Sus scrofa: one gene and its partners. The protein of the gene in region 1 interacts with the protein of each later gene in a biochemical or structural test. Links are inferred from orthologs where the notes say so. Each region holds a gene or a part of one and is shown on either strand. Other genes may lie near its edges.

The links. The genes of interacting proteins can lie anywhere in the genome.
Region 2: the proteins of UBE2D1 (region 1) and TRIM21 form a complex in vitro, tested with the Homo sapiens proteins (3 studies listed by BioGRID). The link is inferred for Sus scrofa from reciprocal best matches to the Homo sapiens genes UBE2D1 and TRIM21.
Region 3: the proteins of UBE2D1 (region 1) and TRIM32 form a complex in vitro, tested with the Homo sapiens proteins (4 studies listed by BioGRID). The link is inferred for Sus scrofa from reciprocal best matches to the Homo sapiens genes UBE2D1 and TRIM32.
Region 4: the proteins of UBE2D1 (region 1) and RFWD2 form a complex in vitro, tested with the Homo sapiens proteins (2 studies listed by BioGRID). The link is inferred for Sus scrofa from reciprocal best matches to the Homo sapiens genes UBE2D1 and COP1.

Annotation. Positions count from the first base shown.
Region 1 is NC_010456.5:92,326,596-92,332,214, forward strand, and holds the start of UBE2D1 (UB2D1), read right to left. Parts: upstream 3,619-5,619; coding exon 3,595-3,618; intron 1-3,594.
Region 2 is NC_010451.4:5,787,190-5,791,758, reverse strand, and holds the end of TRIM21 (E3 ubiquitin-protein ligase TRIM21), read right to left. Parts: intron 3,718-4,569; coding exon 3,695-3,717; intron 2,860-3,694; coding exon 2,759-2,859; intron 2,497-2,758; coding exon 1,976-2,496; coding exon of another isoform or gene 1,947-1,975; 3' UTR 1,131-1,946; downstream 1-1,130. UniProt on the Homo sapiens protein: E3 ubiquitin-protein ligase whose activity is dependent on E2 enzymes, UBE2D1, UBE2D2, UBE2E1 and UBE2E2.
Region 3 is NC_010443.5:257,063,536-257,068,041, reverse strand, and holds the end of TRIM32 (E3 ubiquitin-protein ligase TRIM32), read right to left. Parts: intron 4,196-4,506; coding exon 2,158-4,195; 3' UTR 1,131-2,157; downstream 1-1,130. UniProt on the Homo sapiens protein: E3 ubiquitin ligase that plays a role in various biological processes including neural stem cell differentiation, innate immunity, inflammatory resonse and autophagy.
Region 4 is NC_010451.4:118,016,139-118,021,209, reverse strand, and holds part of RFWD2 (E3 ubiquitin-protein ligase RFWD2), read left to right. Parts: intron 1-2,260; coding exon 2,261-2,375; intron 2,376-5,071. UniProt on the Homo sapiens protein: E3 ubiquitin-protein ligase that mediates ubiquitination and subsequent proteasomal degradation of target proteins.

The DNA of each region.
Region 1 (5,619 bases):
GCCTGAGTCACTGCAGTGACCGGAACCTTAATGTGCTGCACCAGAATGGAACTCCCATTATGTTGTATTTTAATTTACAAATACGTTTTAAGTTAAATTGACTATTAAATATTCCATTTGGGGGACAAAACTATACACTAAGGAATAGCCATCTGTGTTGCTATATTTGTAAAACAAAACTCTTTTGTTTAATTTTTCAAGATAGATCACATCATTTAGTATTGTGATTAGTACTTCAATTTCTTTATCAAATAAAATCTAGAGGGAAATATAAATACACTCAGACGATGACGATTGTGTTAAATTTCCTTTTTTTTTTTTTAACTTTCCAGTTTTCAAAACATTCAGTATTGTGATATAACATCTGTAATTTAAAAAATGATTTTCGGAGTTCCCGTCGTGGCGCAGTGGTTAACGAATCCGACTAGGAACCATGAGGTTGCGGGTTCGGTCCCTGCCCTTGCTCAGTGGGTCAAGCTTCCGGCATTGCCGTGAGCGGTGGTGTAGGTCACAGACGCGGCTTGGATCCTGCGTTGCTGTGGCTCTGGCGTAGGCTGGCAGCTACAGCTCCAATTCGACCCCTAGCCTGGGAACCTCCATATGCCGCAGGAGCGGCCCAAGAAATGGCAAAAAGACAAAAAAATAAAAAAAAAATAATAATAAATAAATAAAAAATGATTTCCAAAAAATTTACCAAGGCTTGAAAACAGTATTAACAGAAGAAACATTCAAAACTAATTCTAGAAAATAGCAAATGCCCAGCTGAAAACTGCCCTCTTTTTTCAGACATGCCTTAGTTATCTTTCCTTAGACTTTGCTCAAATTTCTTCCCTTTAGTGATTTAGGTGACTATGATAACATCTTCCACTGTATCTAAAAATAGGGCATGAGTGTGTAAATTTATGAGCTGAAATGTAAAAACTGGCACTGGATGTCTAAATTAGAGTATTAAATCATTTACCGTACTCTAGCATAAAAATATATTTTAAGCACTCATCTCCACATGCTTTGTATATTCATACAATTTTAATTCAACCATCCTTAATCTTTTCATATGAAGTGAAGAAATGTGAAATCATGAACTTTTTAACATTCTCAAATATGCCAAATCACTTCTTAAGAGATTAACTTGGACAAAGCACTCCACTCCAAACCTCAGACTCCTCTGACTAACAAGGAGACTAGACTAGAATGTCAGTGGTTCTCAGCCTTCTTTCCACCCCAGCCCATCTGAGGGATTCTACAACTGACAGCAGTCATGGACAGCAGTGGGGACAGCCTGCAATACATCTCTCAGAGGTGATTCTGATACACTACCCTAGAAGCTGTTCCCCTTCTCTCCACTCCACTCTGCTACTGCAGAGTTCTTTGAGGTTCTGCAGTTCTATAGGCTGCCACTGCAGGTACAGGAAAATAACAACCCAGAGGACCTGGAAGGCAACTGACAGTATTCCTTTAATACACTTAAAAAGAAAGGCCAAACATTACTATGCATTTTCTTTTGTTGAAGCATGCAAAATTCAAAGAGAATCTGTATAATGATGCTATCAAATAGGGCTTTGTAAGTGTTCATATGGCAAACAGCACACATTCTCTGGAATTCTTTTTTAATCAAGGGGGTAGGTAAGGCAAGAGGAAAAGTGGGGAATCAAAACAAATACCTTCTAAAGTTTGAGGGAATTGTTTGAACATGGAAGAGAGATTTATGCAAGTCAACTTTTCTGACAACAGAGAAGGAAAGCCAAAGACTGACACATAGAGATGGGATGTTATGTGACCCCAAATCTCCTCCCCAAACTATCAATTTGTTACAGATCTGACATCAATTCTACGTAAGAATATTTTCTTAACCAGACAACTCTGTTACAAACTAAGAGCTGAAAATATGATTTGGGTATATGCCATATTATAAATACAAATCAAATATACTGGCTCAGCATGGTGATTGATAGTTGCCCAGTATATTTACAAATAATGACAATTTCCTTTGTCTACTGTGGACAAATTCTACACTACTTAAAAGCTATTATATGTGTAAAGCTTTGTAAAAAATTCTCACAACTAGAGAAGAAGAAAATGTAATTTTTAAGACTTACTTGGAAAAATGTGTGTGGTTTACTTCAAATGAGAGCCAATATTACATCATCATTAATAAGTACACAAGGCATGGCAAAGATGCTGAGTGAGGCTTCAGATTAGAATTATCTATTAAAAAAAAATGTGTAACTGCATTATCTTCAAACCAGAAAACATACTAATCAATAAATGCTGATCATTAGCTATGGGCTTTATAGCGAGAGGAACTTTAAAAAGTACAAAAATTAACAATATTCCACAGATTTAGTATTTGACTCTCCCCCCCCAAAATTGGCTGGTTCTAGAAAGTTGCTGTCCTCTGTACCAGAAGATGCCACCAATGGTGACTAAGAAAACATCTCTATCACTGTTCTTTTGATTCATGCCTGAAAAGGTTGATAAATTTTTTCGGTAGGATTTCTTCTGAAATCCTTTACAAAACATACTGTCCATTGTTGGCTTAACTTGCTGAACCTAACTCCCATTAAAATAACAAATTCTCAATGTTCTCCACATGAAACATACCAATAAAACCTAAAACTTGTGTCAGTGAACAGACCAAATCACCTAACAAGAAGTAAAAGTGAACAGAAAGAAAATGCCCCAACCCAATTTTGTAAGATGTTCATGTAGAGACAGTAGCAATAGATACTATGCAAGAGAAGACAATACCTTACACTGCGTTTGGGATAGACAAACATTTCTTTAATGAACGTACACATTTCTTCCTCATTCTATACCCATGTGTCAAAACATCAAACAATTAAATTTGTGGCAGTTTCTGTTGTGTCTCAAACTTTACACCTAAGTTTATCATGAGGGGTAAAAAAAACCTGCTTGGCTTGACTTGCCATGAATCACAGCCAGGAGGTCATCTTGCTGTGTATCAGCAACTATGTTTTCACTACAGCTATGTGACCTGAAGTGGCAGCAGCAGAGGGACCAAAATAGAAGGGGCAGGAGGCTTCTCGGCCCCAAACAGGCTTTTCCAGCCCATTCGGGCATCTGAGCAAGAGCCAACCTCAGAGGAGAGAAAGAACAAATCCAAGGGCTCCGCGGAGGAAGGCTGCAGGCCCACCACACCTTCCTTGCCCTCCCCGGGAGTCCAGGGAGACAAGAACATAAAAGAGAACCGGCTTAAGAAACAGCTTGAAGAAAGCAGCATGACAAGGGCCAAAACTCGCCCGGTATAGGACAAAATTCAGGCGCGACCGAGAAGCACAGATTTCGGGAAGGTCTGGAGACCGAAACGATCTCCGGCCGGGGCTCCGGGCGCAGGTCCTGAGAGAGCGCACGGCGGGCCCCCTGCCTCCCAGCACCTCCAGCGCCCGGGACCTGCCGCTGCTCCCACCTCACCTGTCGGGTGCCCGCTGGCCCCGCCAGCATCCCTGGCCCCTGGTTCCCGCCCCGGCCCATCCTTCTTTCACGTTCCCTCCAGGCACAACTCTCAGACCACCGCCGGGCTCAGCGTGGGCAGGGGGCTGAAGCCCCCGCCCCAGACCGGGCCCCGGCACTCACTTTCTGAATCCGCTTCAGCGCCATGGGTCAGGGAGGACAGCGGGGACACTGGCCGGTGGGGGACGGCTTCGGGGCTCGGAGGCGTGGGATCGTTGCGGACTCGGTTCGCTGGCTATTCGGCTGGCTCAGCCGGGAGGGTCCCGGCTTGCTGCTCTCTCGCTCGCTCCGGGAGCCGCTGCCCGTTCCGAGTGCGCCCCAGCGCCAGTATGCGGGCGGGGACGCCGGTGAGACTCTTTTGTTTCCGCTTTTGCTTCTGGGAAGGAGGCTGTGTCCGCCCCGCCCCGCCCCGCCCCATCCCGCCGGGCACTTTGGGAAGTGTAGTTCCGGCTCTTCCTGGCCGCCGCCCGGGGCGGGGGTGCGTTGCTCACAGATGACCTAGACCCGCAGGCTGATCTCAGAACTACCCCGGGTTGAGTAGGTCTCTGCAGTTGGATTTTGAGCAAGGTACTGAAGTGGAGTCCCCATTCTGTAAAATGAGGATAACAAATTAGCTTGAAAAACATGTACAAGAATTTCTGACGTGCTGTAGCTCATCTTGCTTTTTTTTACGTTTACAGATTTTACCCTCTTCTCAAATACTTGAATTGCGTCAATTTCTCACATATGCACAGACTTATACCAGTTAAGACACCTTACCTCCTTAATTCCTATTTCAAAAGTCGCCCCTTCTATCTGATGCTAATCCCACCATGTTTGCTTCTTCTTGGAACTCCCAATTCTGAGTTTCATCCTCCTTCCTTTCCGTTGACAGACCAGTAGTACCTGCTCTGTCCCCATAGTCTCCTCGCGCTCCTCACTCACTCAATTCTTATGAACGTGTGTGCTCAATAAAACTTGGCTTCTGCTTTCAGCACCAGCAGAACTCGCTTCTCACCAGAGTCGCACTTGAGCTTCTACTTCCCAAATCGAGTTCGCTCCTTTTCCTCCATGACGTTTTTGACCTATTTCATTGCTGGCTACCTTTTGCTTTTTAAAATACTTACCGCCTACCAGAGCACTAGGGTAGTTGGGGTTTTTACTCCTCTGGCTTTGGCTTTTTTGTCACTAGCTCCCCTTCTCAAGAGTCAGAGTGGCCTGGAGTTCCAGTCTCTGATCTCTACCATGAACTGGGTGGGAGCCCACGAAGCTTGGCTGGAGGGAGGGCTTTGTAGACAGATCCTCTCCTGGAATGGGATCCCAGCTCTGATTCGTACCCACTGTGTGGTTGTGTAGTCAATTAAACTCTCTAAGCCTCAGTTTCCTCATGTCAAAATCTCTAGATATGTTATTGTAAAAATTAACTGATATACATATAACATGCCACAATACCTAATATGTTGAAAGTGCTCTATAAAAATTATTTCCTTGTTTTTTTCTATATGATAATGACTTAAAATCTTTCTTTCCAATGAAACTCTCACCCAAATTTCAGCCTTTTATGTCCAAAAGTCTACTGGACATGTCCACCTTCCTTCTTTGTGGCCAGGAATGAGAATGTGTTACAATGTCAGGGTTGGAGGAAAGCCCCAAACAGTAGCTACCATAGCTTCTTTAAAGGCTTACAAAGAACAAGGAACAAAAATCCACTCATGTAACTTAAAGTCCTAGGTAGATAGGATAGTGAAAGAATGATGGAAATGTGTAATGGAATCTGAAACTTGATTTAGAAGCCTCTCATCCCCTTCCCCCAAAATAAACATAATACTAAAATCTTTCTGGAGTTTAGCTATTCTCTTACTTCCTTTTTCTTGAGGTTTGCTTCTCTGCACTCTGGCCCACCCTCCTTTTCCCAGTTCCCTCTTAGCTTCTCTTGCACGTGGCATGAGCTCCTATCACTCTTACTCCATTTTTTGACACTCTTCCAGCAACTGCTCCTGCTGTTAAATGGCCAGGCCTTTTGGTACTCCCTATCTATTTCCCTAAAAGGAAGAATCTCATTGATACATCCATCTTTTTACTCCAGGCTATAATTTTCAGCTAGTGAGCAAAGTATGGACTGACTACTCTTAGGTTAGTTAGCCACCCATGGTCCAATCAATAGGAAGT
Region 2 (4,569 bases), on another chromosome or scaffold:
AGGTGAGGGGCAGGGGGTGGGGCAACGGGTTGGGGGGGTCAGCGTGCAAACTTTCAGCTGTAAGATGAATATGTTATGAGAAGGTAATAAACAGCATGGCGACTATAGTTAATACTTTACTGTGTATTTGAAAGTTACTAAGAAAGTAGATTTTTTTTTTTTTTTTTTTTTTTTACTTTTTAGGGCTATACCTGAGGCAGGTGGAAGTTCCCAGGCTAGGGGTCGAATCAGCGCTACAGCTGCCAGCCTACACCACAGTCACAGCAACGCCAGATCTGAGCTGTGTCTGCAACTTACACCACTGAGCGAGGGCAGGGATCAAACCTGTGTTCTCATGGATGCTCATCAGATTCGTTTCTGCTGAACCACGACGGGAACTTCCAAGAGATCTTAAAAGTTTTCACCACAAACTGGCACAAATGTAACTATGTGAGGTGATAGAGTTAACTAATCTTATTGCGGTAATCATTTTTGCAGTATATATATGTAATATATATATATAATCATTACATTATATGCCTTAAACTTAGAAAATGTTACATCTTAATAAAGCTGGCAGAAAAAAAAATATACAATGGAGTATTTTCAATCATACAAGAAGGAAGTCCTGCCTTTTGTGACAACATGAATAAACCTTACATTATCCTAAGTGAAATGAGCCAGGCACAGAAAAACAAATACTCTGGGATTTCTCTTATATGTAGAATCCAAAAAATTGGAACTCATAGAAATAGAGTGGGCATGGAAGTAGGGGAAACAGGGAGATGTTATCTCTACACTACATCTCCAAACACACTTTTAGTTTGGAGATCTAAAGTAGAGCGTGGGGACTATAGTTTAAAATATGATATTGTATACTTGCAATTTGCTAAGAGTTGATCTTAAATGTGCTCATTATACACACAAAAACAGTACGTGTGGGGTGATGAATTAATTAGCTCGATTGTGGTAATTGTGAACGGAAGTTTGGCCCTTGCCATCAGCCTCTACTGGGAGTAAAACACGAGCCACTGCATCTGCCCACCCGCAGCACCCCCTGAGCGGAGCGTGGGGTGGGGACCAGCAGGGAGGCCCTCTGTGCTCTGGGAAAACTGGAAGAACAGATCCTCAGAGAGTTAGGTATTTTTAGGAGAAGATACGGCTGGGAGGTAGTGAGGGGAGTAGGGGAGCCAGCAAGCTGGGTATTTAACAGGGTGATCTAAGGCGTGCGTAATTCAGCCTTTATTTTATTTTCTGTAATTTTTAAACTTCATTTTTATCTTTTAATTTATCTTTTTCTTCTTTTGGCTGCCCCTCGGCACATGGAGTTCCTGGACCAGGGATCATATCTGAGACGCAGTTGCGACCTGAGCTGCAGGTGCTGCAACGCCGGATCCTTAACCCACTGTGCGGGGCCGGGGGTCCAACCTGCATGTCCCAGCGCTCCCAAGACGCCGCCAATCCCATTGTGCTACAGCGGGAACTCCTCAGCCTTTATTTTAAAAGGATGGCTGCTAATGGCTCTTTTTCCGTAGCAGCGTGGAGCCATCCGTGATGAGACGTGACCATGTCGGAAAGCTAATCCCAGAGGTGTACGAGACAAGAGTGGTGGGGCAGACGGAGGCCCAATTTATTTAGGAAGCCCTTTGCAAGATCTACAGGAGAGATCTGAGCAGAGGCCCGGAGATGGAGAGGAGAACATGCTTCAGTTGATCCAGATGAGTTTGGGGCCAGATACGAGTGGCTGGCTTATGGAGGGGCTCATGAAGCAACGGAGGGCAGGAATCTGGGTGTTGAAGGTCATTTGACACAGACCCCCCGTGACCTCTCTGCCAGCGTTTGCTTGCTGATATCCTGACACCTCTGCAGAGGTAACGGTGGTTGGGCGTCCAGGGGCAAATGAGGCAGGGCTCTTGGCTGAGAGGGGGGCTAACAGAGAAGCGCTGCCACCGACAGTCTCTGGATCCCTACCAGCCCGTCCTCAGTGGACAGAGGGTCAGGGGGGGTGCATTTCTTCCACCGTCATTGAAACCAGGATTGAAGAAGGGCCGAACGGGTCCAGCGAAGCACATTCTGAGAAGCTGTAGATGAGGGAGCCGTGGTCACTGATGTTGTAGAAGGAGACGGTGCTGGCATCGTAGTCCAGGAAGATCCCAACGCGGCTCGGAGGCACCTGAGGGTAGAGGGGAGTCTGGGTGCAGGTGCCAGCCTCATATTTTTGTTTGTTCCACAGCCAGATGGTCCAGAAGCCATTGCTGGGGTTGAGCAAAAAATGTCCCTTCCTCTTCACGGAGTCTCGACACACACCCAGGTCCCAGGCCTCCTTGCCGGCCACATCCACCTCCCAGTAATGTTTCCCAGAGTTGAAGTGCTGGGCACCCAGGACCATGGGGTAGGTATCAAATCTCTCCTCGTTTTCGGGCACTTCCTGCCGGGTCTCTCCAAGCCTCACTTGTCGCCGATTCTCTGAAAGGACGAGCCACGGACTGGCCGTCAGTGGGTCCAGAGTGATGTGCACTGGAGAGAGAGGCCCGTGGTCAGGCTGGGAGAGCGGGGGGAGTCAGTAACCCTGAGTCCGGGGTGGGGGATGAGGAGGAAGTGACCCCCGGCCAACTCCGCCCCTTGCCCTGACCTTTGGGGGAACCACCTCCCCTGTCTCCACCCCCGCCCCGCCTACTCCCACCTGCCATCTCTCCCCGACCCTGGGAGGCACTGGGCATCCCTGTCCTCCCCTCTGCTCCTGGGCAGGCCAGTCCCACACCGCTGGTGCCGGCCTCACCTGCATATGACCTCAGCATCCTCTTAATCCCGGGCACATAGCACAAGCTGCTCAGGTCTGGGAAGCCGATGTTCAGCTCCTTCAGGTTCCAAGACTCACTCCTGGGGGAAAAAGAGTTAGAGACCCCCTCTGCAACTCCTAAGGAACCCTCTCCCTATTATCACCTCTGCGGATGACTGGTAATTCAATGCAAATGTGCAAACTCCTCCCGTGCTGCTGGGGTCCCTCGGGGTGGAGGGCGAAGGGAGGTAGGATGCAGTTTCCACCCAAGCACATCCTGTTCCATTTTTACGTTCAAGGCATCTGATACAGGCTGCATCACTTCCCTGAGGGACCTCATGCTGCGGGTCTTACCCAGGGCCCGTTCTGGGAGGTTTGAAACTGGTCAGGTTCTTTTTAAAGCAGCCCCAGCGGGCCGCAGACTCACAGCTTCCCTGCTGGTCAGAACCTCACTTGGTGAAGATTTTATACTCCAAGGACTGGGCACCTCGGCAACGGAGATGTCCATTAATCAGCCTTCTGAGACCAGAAACTATTTCAGCGAGAACTGGGTCTTTGAGAACAGGGAGAAGGATGGGGAAAACCTCAGTGCTTTTTTTTTGGTCTTTTTAGGGCTGCACTCATGGCATACGGAAGCTCTCAGGCCAGGAGTCAAATTGGAGCTGCAGCCGCCGGCCTACAATCCAGCCACAGCCACAGTCTTGCAGGATCCAAGCTTAATCTGCGACCTACACCACAGCTCATGGCAATGCCAGATCCTTAACCCCCTGAGCGAGGCCAGGGATCGAACCTGCATCCTCATGGATGCTAGTTGGGTTCGTTTCTGCTGAGCCACAAAGGGACCTCCAAGGGCACATTTTTAAACCTGAAAACCTTTCCCACAGGTGACTATGTTTCCTGCCACCTTCTCCTCCAACAAAGAAAGCCTCTCCTTACCTTTCCAGGACACTCTTCACCTCCTGAGGAGAAAAGAGACAGAGAGTAAGTTCTGGAGTCACTGGATGATGACGGAGACGTCAGTCCTGTGGGTGACGCGATGCCACCTGAGGACCACAGGACACTTCTCCGCCCCATTCCTCTGGGCCAAGGCCCGAAAGACGTCTTGGACCAGCTTGGAAGCAAAGGTGTGTGTGGGCGCTTGTGGGGGAAGCAGAAACCCAGCGTGGGTGGGACCTCCAGCAGGGGAAGGAAGGGCCGTTTACAAAGTCGGATGCAGAAAAAACTAACATTAAAAAGACCGGATTCTCGGTGGGGGTCGGGGAGCGCGGAAAGGGGCAAACAGCCCAGCCTGGCTGAGGTCCCAAGGTGGCCCCTGAGAAAGAATGGCCACGAGAGGATGCCCAGAACACACAGAAACTGCTCCCACTGTGGCTTGAGCTGTTCGGGTGCTCTGTGCTGCTTAATGCTGCCCCCATTGTGCATGTGAAACCAATATGCCTGAGAATATTCTGTTGCAGGTGGGTGGGGGCCCTTACCTGGGAACTGGCAGGCTCCTAGGCTCGGACAAAAGTGCCTCAAAAAGCCCTGCTCAGGAGTTTGTGCTGTGGCTCAGCAGAAACAAACCCGGTTAGTATCCGTGAGAACATGAGTTCAATCCCTGGATAGGTCAGGAATCTGGCAGGCCCATGAGCGTGGTGTAGGTTGCAGGTATGGCTCAGATCTGGCGTTGCTGTGACTGTGGTGTAGGTGGCAGCTGTAGCTCTGATTCGGCCCCTAGCCTGGGAACCTCCATATGCAGCAGGTGCGGCCCTAAAAAGCAAAAAACAAAACAAAAAACAAAGCTTTGCTCAATGCTGGGCAGAAGCAAGGTT
Region 3 (4,506 bases), on another chromosome or scaffold:
CCAAAAAAAAAAAAAAAGTGCTGTAATTGAGCAAATTAGTTTCCTGGGGCTACACGCTGCAATGTTGTCAATATGGTAGATAATTGAAAATTGACTGTACTAAGCACAACCTAAACTATTCACATCAAGGGAACAAAAACGTTCAGACCACATTTATTTCCATTCTGAGCCAACAGATACCTGCTACACTTGAGGACCAAGGCATGAGTGTGGTTTGGAGATGGGTTAGGTCTAAGTGCCGAATGCCAACAGCGACAGCACTTCCTTCCAAAAGCACAGGCAGTTAGGAGTCCTGGCATTGTTTATATTAAGCCAGCCTGCAGCACCATTTCTCCGCTGCAAACCCTGTGCCAAAGGCCTCAAACACCATTACTGCCTCAGCAAGTCCCCCTCTGACAGCAAAGATAGATCTCCTGCTGCCAGGTGCTACAACAGATAAAGTGGCTCTAATAACTGGTGGAGTCAATTCGCGATGCATTCTTAATTGGATCAATTTCCTCTCAATTATACAGTCTTTGAAAATCGGATGCAATTTCATAATCAGAACGTGGGGCTTTTCTCCAGGTGAAAAGCACAAGACAAACTAGTTTGACATCATTTTAATTAGCTTCTTTCCTATGCTTTGTCAGCTATCACAACAGAAGCCAAAAAAGCACCACCACCACCAAAAAGCAGTTTTGAGAAGCTTGGCTTAGTAGAATCTGCTCTGTGAAAGCCAGGTAATAGTTCTTTGGCTTGTCATCAGCCCTGCACCCAAAGAGCAAGATATGTTGCTTGTTAAACACCAAAGCCTGAGGAACCTTGTCACAAATTCCCTCACCCACTTCAGGTCTTCCTGAAATCACAAATTCCTTCCTCTTTTGAACTGTAATTATAAGGATAAAGCAGGTGGAGGCTGAGTTTAAAACAGGGTGCTGGTGACTGCAGACCTTGGAGGCTGATTCCATACACAGGTTATGTGGGAGTAGGATCTGGATTAACTTGACATAATGGTACTTTTGGCTGAATGGTGACCTAGGTAGATTCTTACCATCCTCAAAGGATGGAGTGTCAGGTGTGGAAACAAAGCAGCAGATACCACCCCCACCTCCCAAATCCCATATTTAATGAAAAGACACGAACACCAGTGATGAAGAAACAGTTATCAATCATTTAATGCTTGATAGAGGAATGGAAATAAATCCCCAAACCAAATATGATGCACTCACTTGAGGAAAATACAGAATAAGGACCCCACAGTTTTAATGATGAAAATGAGATGTGTCCCCCTCTGCACTGTGTTGGCCCCAGCCTGTGTTGTACAATTCCACAGACAGCTCTTAGCACAGGTCAGTGGAGAGAGGTAGTATGAAAAACGATGAGCTCTAGAGACTACCCAACAGTGTCTTTTCACTATAAAAGCATTTATTTCTGTTTATTCCCATTTTCCTATGCTTTGGCCTAATTCCAATCCATATGCTCCTTTGAAAGGCTAGCAATTTCCAGGCTAAGGCCTTCAATACCAGCCAACAAGGGTCAATCCATCCTCTGTCACTGCCACAACTGGAGACCAATCCAAGATAGCACAGACCCCCCCAGAGCTGAGAGGCCCTGCTTCCCAGAGGGACTGTATGTCTCCCTTGGTGGCACTAAGTGAAAGGTGCTCTGACCCGAGACATCATGCCACAGGGATAGGATGTCTGAAGTGTCACTGAAAGGTGCAGCAGGTCCCACTGGAGCATGCATGCTAAATGCAGCAGAGCTGAAGAGAAAGTCACAGATGGAGTGTATATCAATAAGGGAGGAAATAATGGACCAGAGTGGTCAAAGCCAAAAGAGAGAAAAATCAACAAGGATTCAATACAAGGGCAAATTTCAAATACAGGGGCAAAAGGCTACTGAAGCCCTGGAAGTGTCTAGGTTCTACTCAAACATCGGCTAACCTCATATCGTGTCCTATTTAGGGCAGTGCATCTGTTAAAGCTCTAAACTTAGGGAGGAGATAATGCAAATTAAAACAAACAAACACACTAAAAGAGACAGAGCTTCTAAACTTCTAGGACTAGCCAGCTGGAATCAGGACACAGGCCAAGTCTACGCTACAGTACCACCAACCACCAAGGAATGAGGGAAGGGAAGATGGCTGAGGAGCACAAGAAACTGCTATCACTCAGCCCCCTAAGGGGTAGAATATCTTCTCAGATGGTAGCTGTAAATCTTGATGCAATGATCCCAACAGTCCAAGACCAGCAGCTGCCCCTTAGGAGTGAGGGCGATGCCCACTGGACAGGTGAGCCCCTCTCGGATAAGGACACTATAGCCGCCCCCCTTGGGGAAGTGGAGAATCTCCTTGCGACTGCTGTCAGCCACGATGAGATCCCCACGCGCATCCACACACATGCCGGCGATACAGCGGAAATCCTCGTTCTCTGAGAAGAAGTGGCTGATCTGGCGACCCAGCTGCCCGTCGGGGCCCACAGAGCCAATGGAGAAGCCGCCCTCCAGGTGGTGCTCATTCTGCCGATTCTCCAGATTAAGGCCCAAGCCCTGGGTGAAGTAGACGGTGCCCTCGGTGTCGCAGGTCACAAACTTGGGCCGAACGGCACTGCACAGGCAGCTGTACTTGACCACCCCTGCTCCTCGGTCAACAGTGAAGCACCAGAGCTTTCCACCCTCCACATCAGTTACCACGAACTGGCCGGATGGAAGGGCTGTGATGCCCCAGGGCTTGCTCAACTGGCTCCTGTGACAGGCCACGCAGTGGCCATCCAAGGTGTACACCTTGAGGGAGTTGTCATAGCTGTCAGTCACACCGATCAGCCCGTGGCAGTTCATGGCCACTGAGAGAGGAGTGAGATTGGGCAGATCAGCCCCAAGGAAGCTCAGCACAAAGCTATCGATGCCGCTGGGGCTGCGGCGGATCTCCTTCAAGAAGCCTTTGCGGGTAAAGACTTGTATACGGTAGTTGCCTCGGTCAGCGACCAGCACCTCGCCTTGACCAGTCACGTAGAGGCTGACCGGAAGGTTGAACATGCCTGGAGTGCTGCCTTTGGCCCCCATCTTCTTGAGAAAGAGGCACTGCTGGATGCTGGCGGCTGTCTCGGCTCCCCGCTGCTTAGCAGGCGAGGCCCTCGGGCTGGCAACTTCCTCGGGGCTCATGTCCATCTCTCTAAATGTCACAGAAGTAGAGGCAGCAGAAGCCGCAGCCTCCATGGCCCAGGAGTCTTCCATGTTGACTGTCCGGGGCTTCTTAACCGCCTGCCCGATTTGGAGGGGGCCCACGTGGCCGACCTTGAGGAGCTCCACGTCCTGCAGGGTCAGCTCGTGGGGCAGGCTGGCGGTGAGCTCGGGCTCCTCCTCCTCCGCCGTCTCTTCCAGGAGCGCCACATCCGCCTGCTTGATCTTGGCCAGGAAGTAGTCACAGCGGGACACAGCCTGCACCTCTGCGATGTTGAGCAGGTAACTCTGCTCCTCCACCACTTGACTGTTGGACTTTTCAACCTCAGCCAAAGAGCCTGTGAAGAACTTCCGAGAGCGAGCCAGCTCCTCCTGGACCCGGCGCTCCTCGTGCCCGTACTCCTGGAGAACGGCTTTATACCGTGCCTGCAGGTCCTTGGAGACACCTTCCAAGGCCACCTTCCGCCGCTGCAGCTCCCCCATGAGCTCCCGTAGACGGGCCAACTTCTCTCCAAAGTCCCGGCGCCGCTCCTCGGCGGCCTCTTTGACAGGGAGCGTGCAGTGGCCGGGAGGCTGGTGGTCCGCCTCCCGGCAGGGCTCACATAACACCACGCTGCAGCTCCGGCAGAACTGCCGGGGCAGCCGCCGCCCGCAGGCCCGGCACATGAGCAGCCCCACGGCCTCGCTGAGCCCAGCCGTGTCAATGATCTTCAGCACGGTCAGGTTGTCCGTCAGCTGGCTCAGGCTGGTTATGCGGGTAATCTTACTGCAAAAGGGACAGCGCACGCCGTTGATGCTGCTGGCCAGCAGCTTCTCCAGGCACTGGCGGCAGATGGTATGGCCACAGTGCAGGAGCTTGGGCCGCAGCTGCTCCTCTGTGAAGGACTCCATGCAGATGGGGCATTCCAGCACTTCCCGGAGGGCATCCAGGTTCAGGTGAGAGGCTGCGGCTGCAGCCATTGCTCTTCCTGTGAAGGGGCTGCTAGCACAGCCCAGGACTGAACAGCCTAGTGTACATGCTCCAGAGGGCCAAGTCCTGCTAAAGAGAAAAAGAAGCCATTATTCCCCGCCTCCATGAGTTAACGCACTCAAGACACGTGTAGAGAATGGCTCCCATCACTCATTCAGTCGCTGACTTATTTAATAAGTATTTACTCAAATCCATTCCGTGTTAGCTGACGGTACTACAAGGGGAAACTAAGTGCTGCATGAGTGGGTGAGACTTCAGGTTCTAGAGTCTCTGATACTAGTTATGTGACCTTAAGGAAGTAACTTAAACTTCCCCAAACTCAGCTGCCCCATCACTCACCTATAAAGTTTAAATAATAATGATGTCTACTTTATATGTTT
Region 4 (5,071 bases), on another chromosome or scaffold:
AGCCTATATCTGACAGAATAAGTTATGCTTTTAAATGTTTGCTAATCCATTAGGTGAGAAATGTGTTGAATTTTGTCAGATGCTTTTTCTGCATCTTTTGAAATTATTATATGGTTATTCTTTATTCTGCCCACTTGATGAATTGCATTGACTGATTTTTTCCAGTATGAAAACCACCCTGTGTTCTTGGACTAAACTCCATTTGGTCTCGATGAGCTATTCTTTTTACATGTTGTTGGGATTGATTTGTTATTATTTTGTCATGGGTGCTTGTTCCCCTCCTTTCCTTCTGTTCCCCGAATGTCCTTGTTTGGGTTTGGGTATTATGGTTATTCTGGCCTCATGAGACAAATTGGGAAGTGTTTTCTGAGAGTTTGTAAAAGACTGATGTTATATCTTCCTTATGTTTGGTAGACTTTTCAAGTAAAAATATTTGCGTCCTCTCTGACCTATATGCTCTTTTTTGGTATATTTATTTGGTCTTATTCTTAAACCCCATAAATTAGATACTATAAATTAATGTATGTACAAACAATATTTTAAAATTACTTACTCGGTTACTAGTTTCATTGTGTTTCTGATTTTGTGTCTCAGACCTTCTAGTTTGTATTATTGAACTTTTCAAGTACATGGTATCAGTAATTTTAAAGAAATGGCTTATTGGTGATAATCTTTGTTTTCATTCACATGAAAAAATATTTTGCTCATGTTACTTCAGGATAGTTTTTTGGGATCTGAATTTTAGATTGGGGTTATTTTAACTTTTTAAGAATAACCAAAATTTACTCTGTTCTAGCTTCTCTCTTTGCTTTTGAGAAGTTTTTTGCCTTTTTTAAGTGTTTCTGTTGGATGAGGTATCTTTTCTCTTTGATTTTAAAATCTACCTGTTTTGGACAAAAACAGTTTTTCTTTAGGGTAGCTAGCTCATTGTGGATTTCTTTTTAATTATCCTTCTTGACAGAAATAATTTCTATGTCTCTGTCAATGTATGTTTTCAGTTTTGGAAAATTGTCAGCATCAACTCTTCAGATACATTCATTTTGGTTAATTCTTTCAGATTTATCTTTCAATTTACAAATTCTCTTTTTATTCTCCAATTCTAGTACTTGTTCTTTTGTAGGTATTTGTCCCCAAATTAGATTATCCTCTCCTTCTTCCTCTCTCTCTATTTTTTGCAGTTGAATCTGCTTGTCCTTCAATTTAATTCAAGAATTTCCTTCTTTCTCTTTCTACTCTGTTATATCTTGTTTACTGTCACCTCTCTGAGTGCAGTTTACTGTTTGGCTGTTTATCTCTTTGGAATTTGACTCTTTTTCTTGTGATCCAAGCACTTCTTTAAAATATAATTCTTATTGTCTACTCTTAGAAGGAGTTTACTTTAGATAAATGTTTTATCTGTGTTACTACTATTAAGTTACTTTTTAATTAATTCAATGAATATTTAGGTAGTAACTGAAATATTATTTGTTAATTAAGAAGCAACTTAATATTTCTTAATGCATCTTAATACATTTTCAGTTGTGGTATGATTATTGTTAACTTGTGTCATCTCAGGGTCTCATTATATTTCTTATTTCTTCATCTGTTAATGTGCCTCAAGCGTAATAGGTGATAACCAAGCAAAGTAGGTAATAACCATTTGTGGAAGAATTGGCATACCTTTTAGTTAGCATGGAGTTGGTATTATATATTTAGGATCATAGACTTTTGTTCTTTATATGATTTTTATGCCAATGTATTTCAGATTTGTTGTTGCTATCAATATATATATATATGTATGATTTATTCTATTCTAATGTATATGTCAAACTTAGTACATATTAATGGCCCCTTAACCTAATAATATTAAGTACCTATTCTGTACAGTCAAGTGCTGTTCCTCTTATTCAAAAGGTATAGGGCTGCAATATAAGGAGATGAAAAAGTAATTAGTTTTCTCTTGGTAATTGTTTTCTAACAATTACTAAAAATTAAAATTCTCAAAATCCTAAGTTTTAGAATGTCATAATGGATTCTATCTTCATTTAATTTCGAGAATTGAAAGAAGCTTCTTATATTATTCTTATAAAATTGGGCTGTTTTTCCTTTAAAATAAGAATTGGAAAATATGTCTAATCACTATTGAGTTTTTAACAATTTGTAATTATTTTAGTGTGAACTTTTCAAATTACCAAAAATATGCAAGCATTTGGATATTCTGTGATGAAAGACAGTATGAATTATTCTAAGTTACAAGTGTCTTTTCTTGTTATCACCTTAGACAAAGAAACAGCCCTGGTATAACAGCACATTAGCATCAAGACGAAAACGACTCACTGCTCATTTTGAAGACTTAGAGCAATGTTACTTTTCTACAAGGATGTCTCGTATCTCAGGTACACATTCAGGACTTCTTAAGATATCTCAATTCCTATTTCCATATCCATATCTAGCCTCTTATGCTGGATTTATGGAAAGTTCTATTCGTAAAGTAAAAGTGTGCATTTTTGACATTGTGGAAGTTTTTAGACATCTTGGAGAACATTGCTTTTCCATAACTCTTTATTCTTTATTTGGGAATTTTTAATCTTTATATGGCAAGCTGAGTAAACTTAAAAAACAAATCAGCCATGAAGAGGTAGCTAGCAAAAATAAGTTCAATTCAGTTGCCTCCTATTATTCAACATATGTTAAATTCTAAGTATTGTCCTCTGTGCCAAGAATAAAAAAAGAGGAAAGAACTGGTATTGTCAAGGAGTATTGTAAATTTAGTGGGGGAAAGCAACAGGTAAATAAATCTATGTGATATTACATGTTATATAAGTGTGCAGAGGGCCCTAAGGGAATAGAGAAGAATATCTGCTATTATAACAGGGAGTGAAAAAACCAGGCCAAGCTGTAGACAGTGAAATGTAAGAGAGTGATTATGATTACTGTAGGGATTTCAGAGAAGTTGTATTTAGTCAGGGCTAGTATAACCTTAAAAAAGATAATTGGAAGCATACTCAAAGTAGAGGAAATAACTTACAAAAAGATTTGTACGTGATAGCGTATAATATTTTTGTTGCTACAGAAAAGTAGTATATTTCTGTGCCCTTTTGTTCTCTAATCTTTAGCCTTTCTTGGTGTCTTTGCTCACAAAGGAGGTAGGGCCATTTATACCCATCCTCCAGGGTTTTTTTTTTTTTTTTTTTTTTTTTTTTGATGGACTGTAGATGATGCATATAAAATACAATGCTTAGTATAATTTAGATTCTCAATTAATTGATGTCATTCATAGTAGACCTGCTTAAAATGAGGATGACCAAAGGAAAAAGATGTCTGATATTTTTTATTAATTGTTAAAAATTTGGCCTTGGTTTTCTCTTTAATAGGCATGTTTGTATCATGATCTTCACATTGCTTGTCACTTTTGGACAAATTTGCCTCAGGATTGGAGGTGGAGGAAAAAACATATAGATTTGCATAGTATTTTTCCTGTGAAGACTAGGAAGAAGCCAAGCTGTCTCTAAGTGTGTTTGAAATTAATAGTCAGTGGCTTTCCTACAAATAGAAAGCTTCTTTGTATTGTCTGAGAATTAAACCCCTTCTTAAACTTCTCTAATGGTCTGTAGTCTATGGTAGGAAGCTGTTAAATTGAAAGTGGTCTGAGACCTACATTCTGACCGGCAGAAAGTCCACAGTAGCCCTTTCAGATGTTGTTTGTCAGTATGATGTTGAGATACAACCACAGGCGAATGGCAGACATTTTTTTAAAAAAGAGAACGAGGTGGGAGAGAGGTTGGAGTAGGCTATTGATTAATAATTTTTAAATAATGAGCATAATTAATGCTCTGGGAGAGTAAAGATTAAGTGTGAACCAATTTAATTTATTTTGGGGATATAGCTTTATAGGAAGGTAAAGTTAAAACCAGGAGGAAGATTAGATTTTTATTTTTGTAGACAAGGCTGTATTGTACTTAAAACATGTTATCTTTAGTTTTTAGTCATCTCAAACTTAATCAGATATGCACATTGACTACACTAATCATATTACTGAAGTTCCCCCTAGTGTCCTTGACTATAAGGATAAAATTTAAATTTTTACGTAATGGGGTACCTAAGAGTTTGTCCTTTTGTATGTATGTTTTCAAATGAGAATCCAGTCCCCATCCCCAACTTTAAGTTTTAGCTATTAAAATGAGAGACGGAGACTAATAAATTAATGCCTTGATCTCTTAATTGTAATTGAAAAAGAAGCTAAATTATAAAGCATTAGAAGAGAGAAAAGAGACAGTGAAAACGGTTTTACAAACTAATCTGTAATTAGAATAGGAGAGGTGATAGGCCAGCATGTGATGTATGGGTATTGATCATAAACCAACCAACCAAACAAAATCCTACCTTTTCACAACCAGATAAATAAAAGTTAATCCCTATACTTTCAGATACTGAAATAACTATTTTTAGTGTTTTTATAATTTCTTTTAGAAGTAGATGTTAAATGAGTGGGTATGATGGCAGAAGTTCAACTACCCTAGAAAAGGATTGTGATCTTGTAAAAAATAGACATTCTTAAATGCTTGTGAATTTTGTATACTTAGGAATTGATGTCAAAATGTAAAAGAATAGATTAACTAAAGCCATTTTTAAGTGGATATCTAAAGTAACTCTATTTTCAGTATTTATTAAGTAGATCACAGTAATAGGGTTGTATATCAAAAGAACCAATGAATTATTTTATCCAAACTACTTGGAAGTACAGTTGATATTTCCTCTCCCCCCCCACCCCAGTAACCTGTTTTTATTTATAATTTGAATTTCCAAAGAGTGATTTTTGTGGGCCAAGAGCTTTAGCTTAGTAACATGATATTGCATACTAATTGGGTTTGTTCCTTTTGCTCTTTCTAGAATCAAAACACTACAAAATAGAGTCTTTTTAAACGTAGGTTGTTAGATGACTGTTTGGGTCTTTAAAATGTAAAATATTAGGGGCAGATGCTTCCTGTTGTTACATAATTGGATTTGAAACACTTCAGAGTATTACGTGAATTATTCTCCAAATAATTGTTCTTCTTTTTAATAATTGATAGGTACATTTCTAAATGTCAAC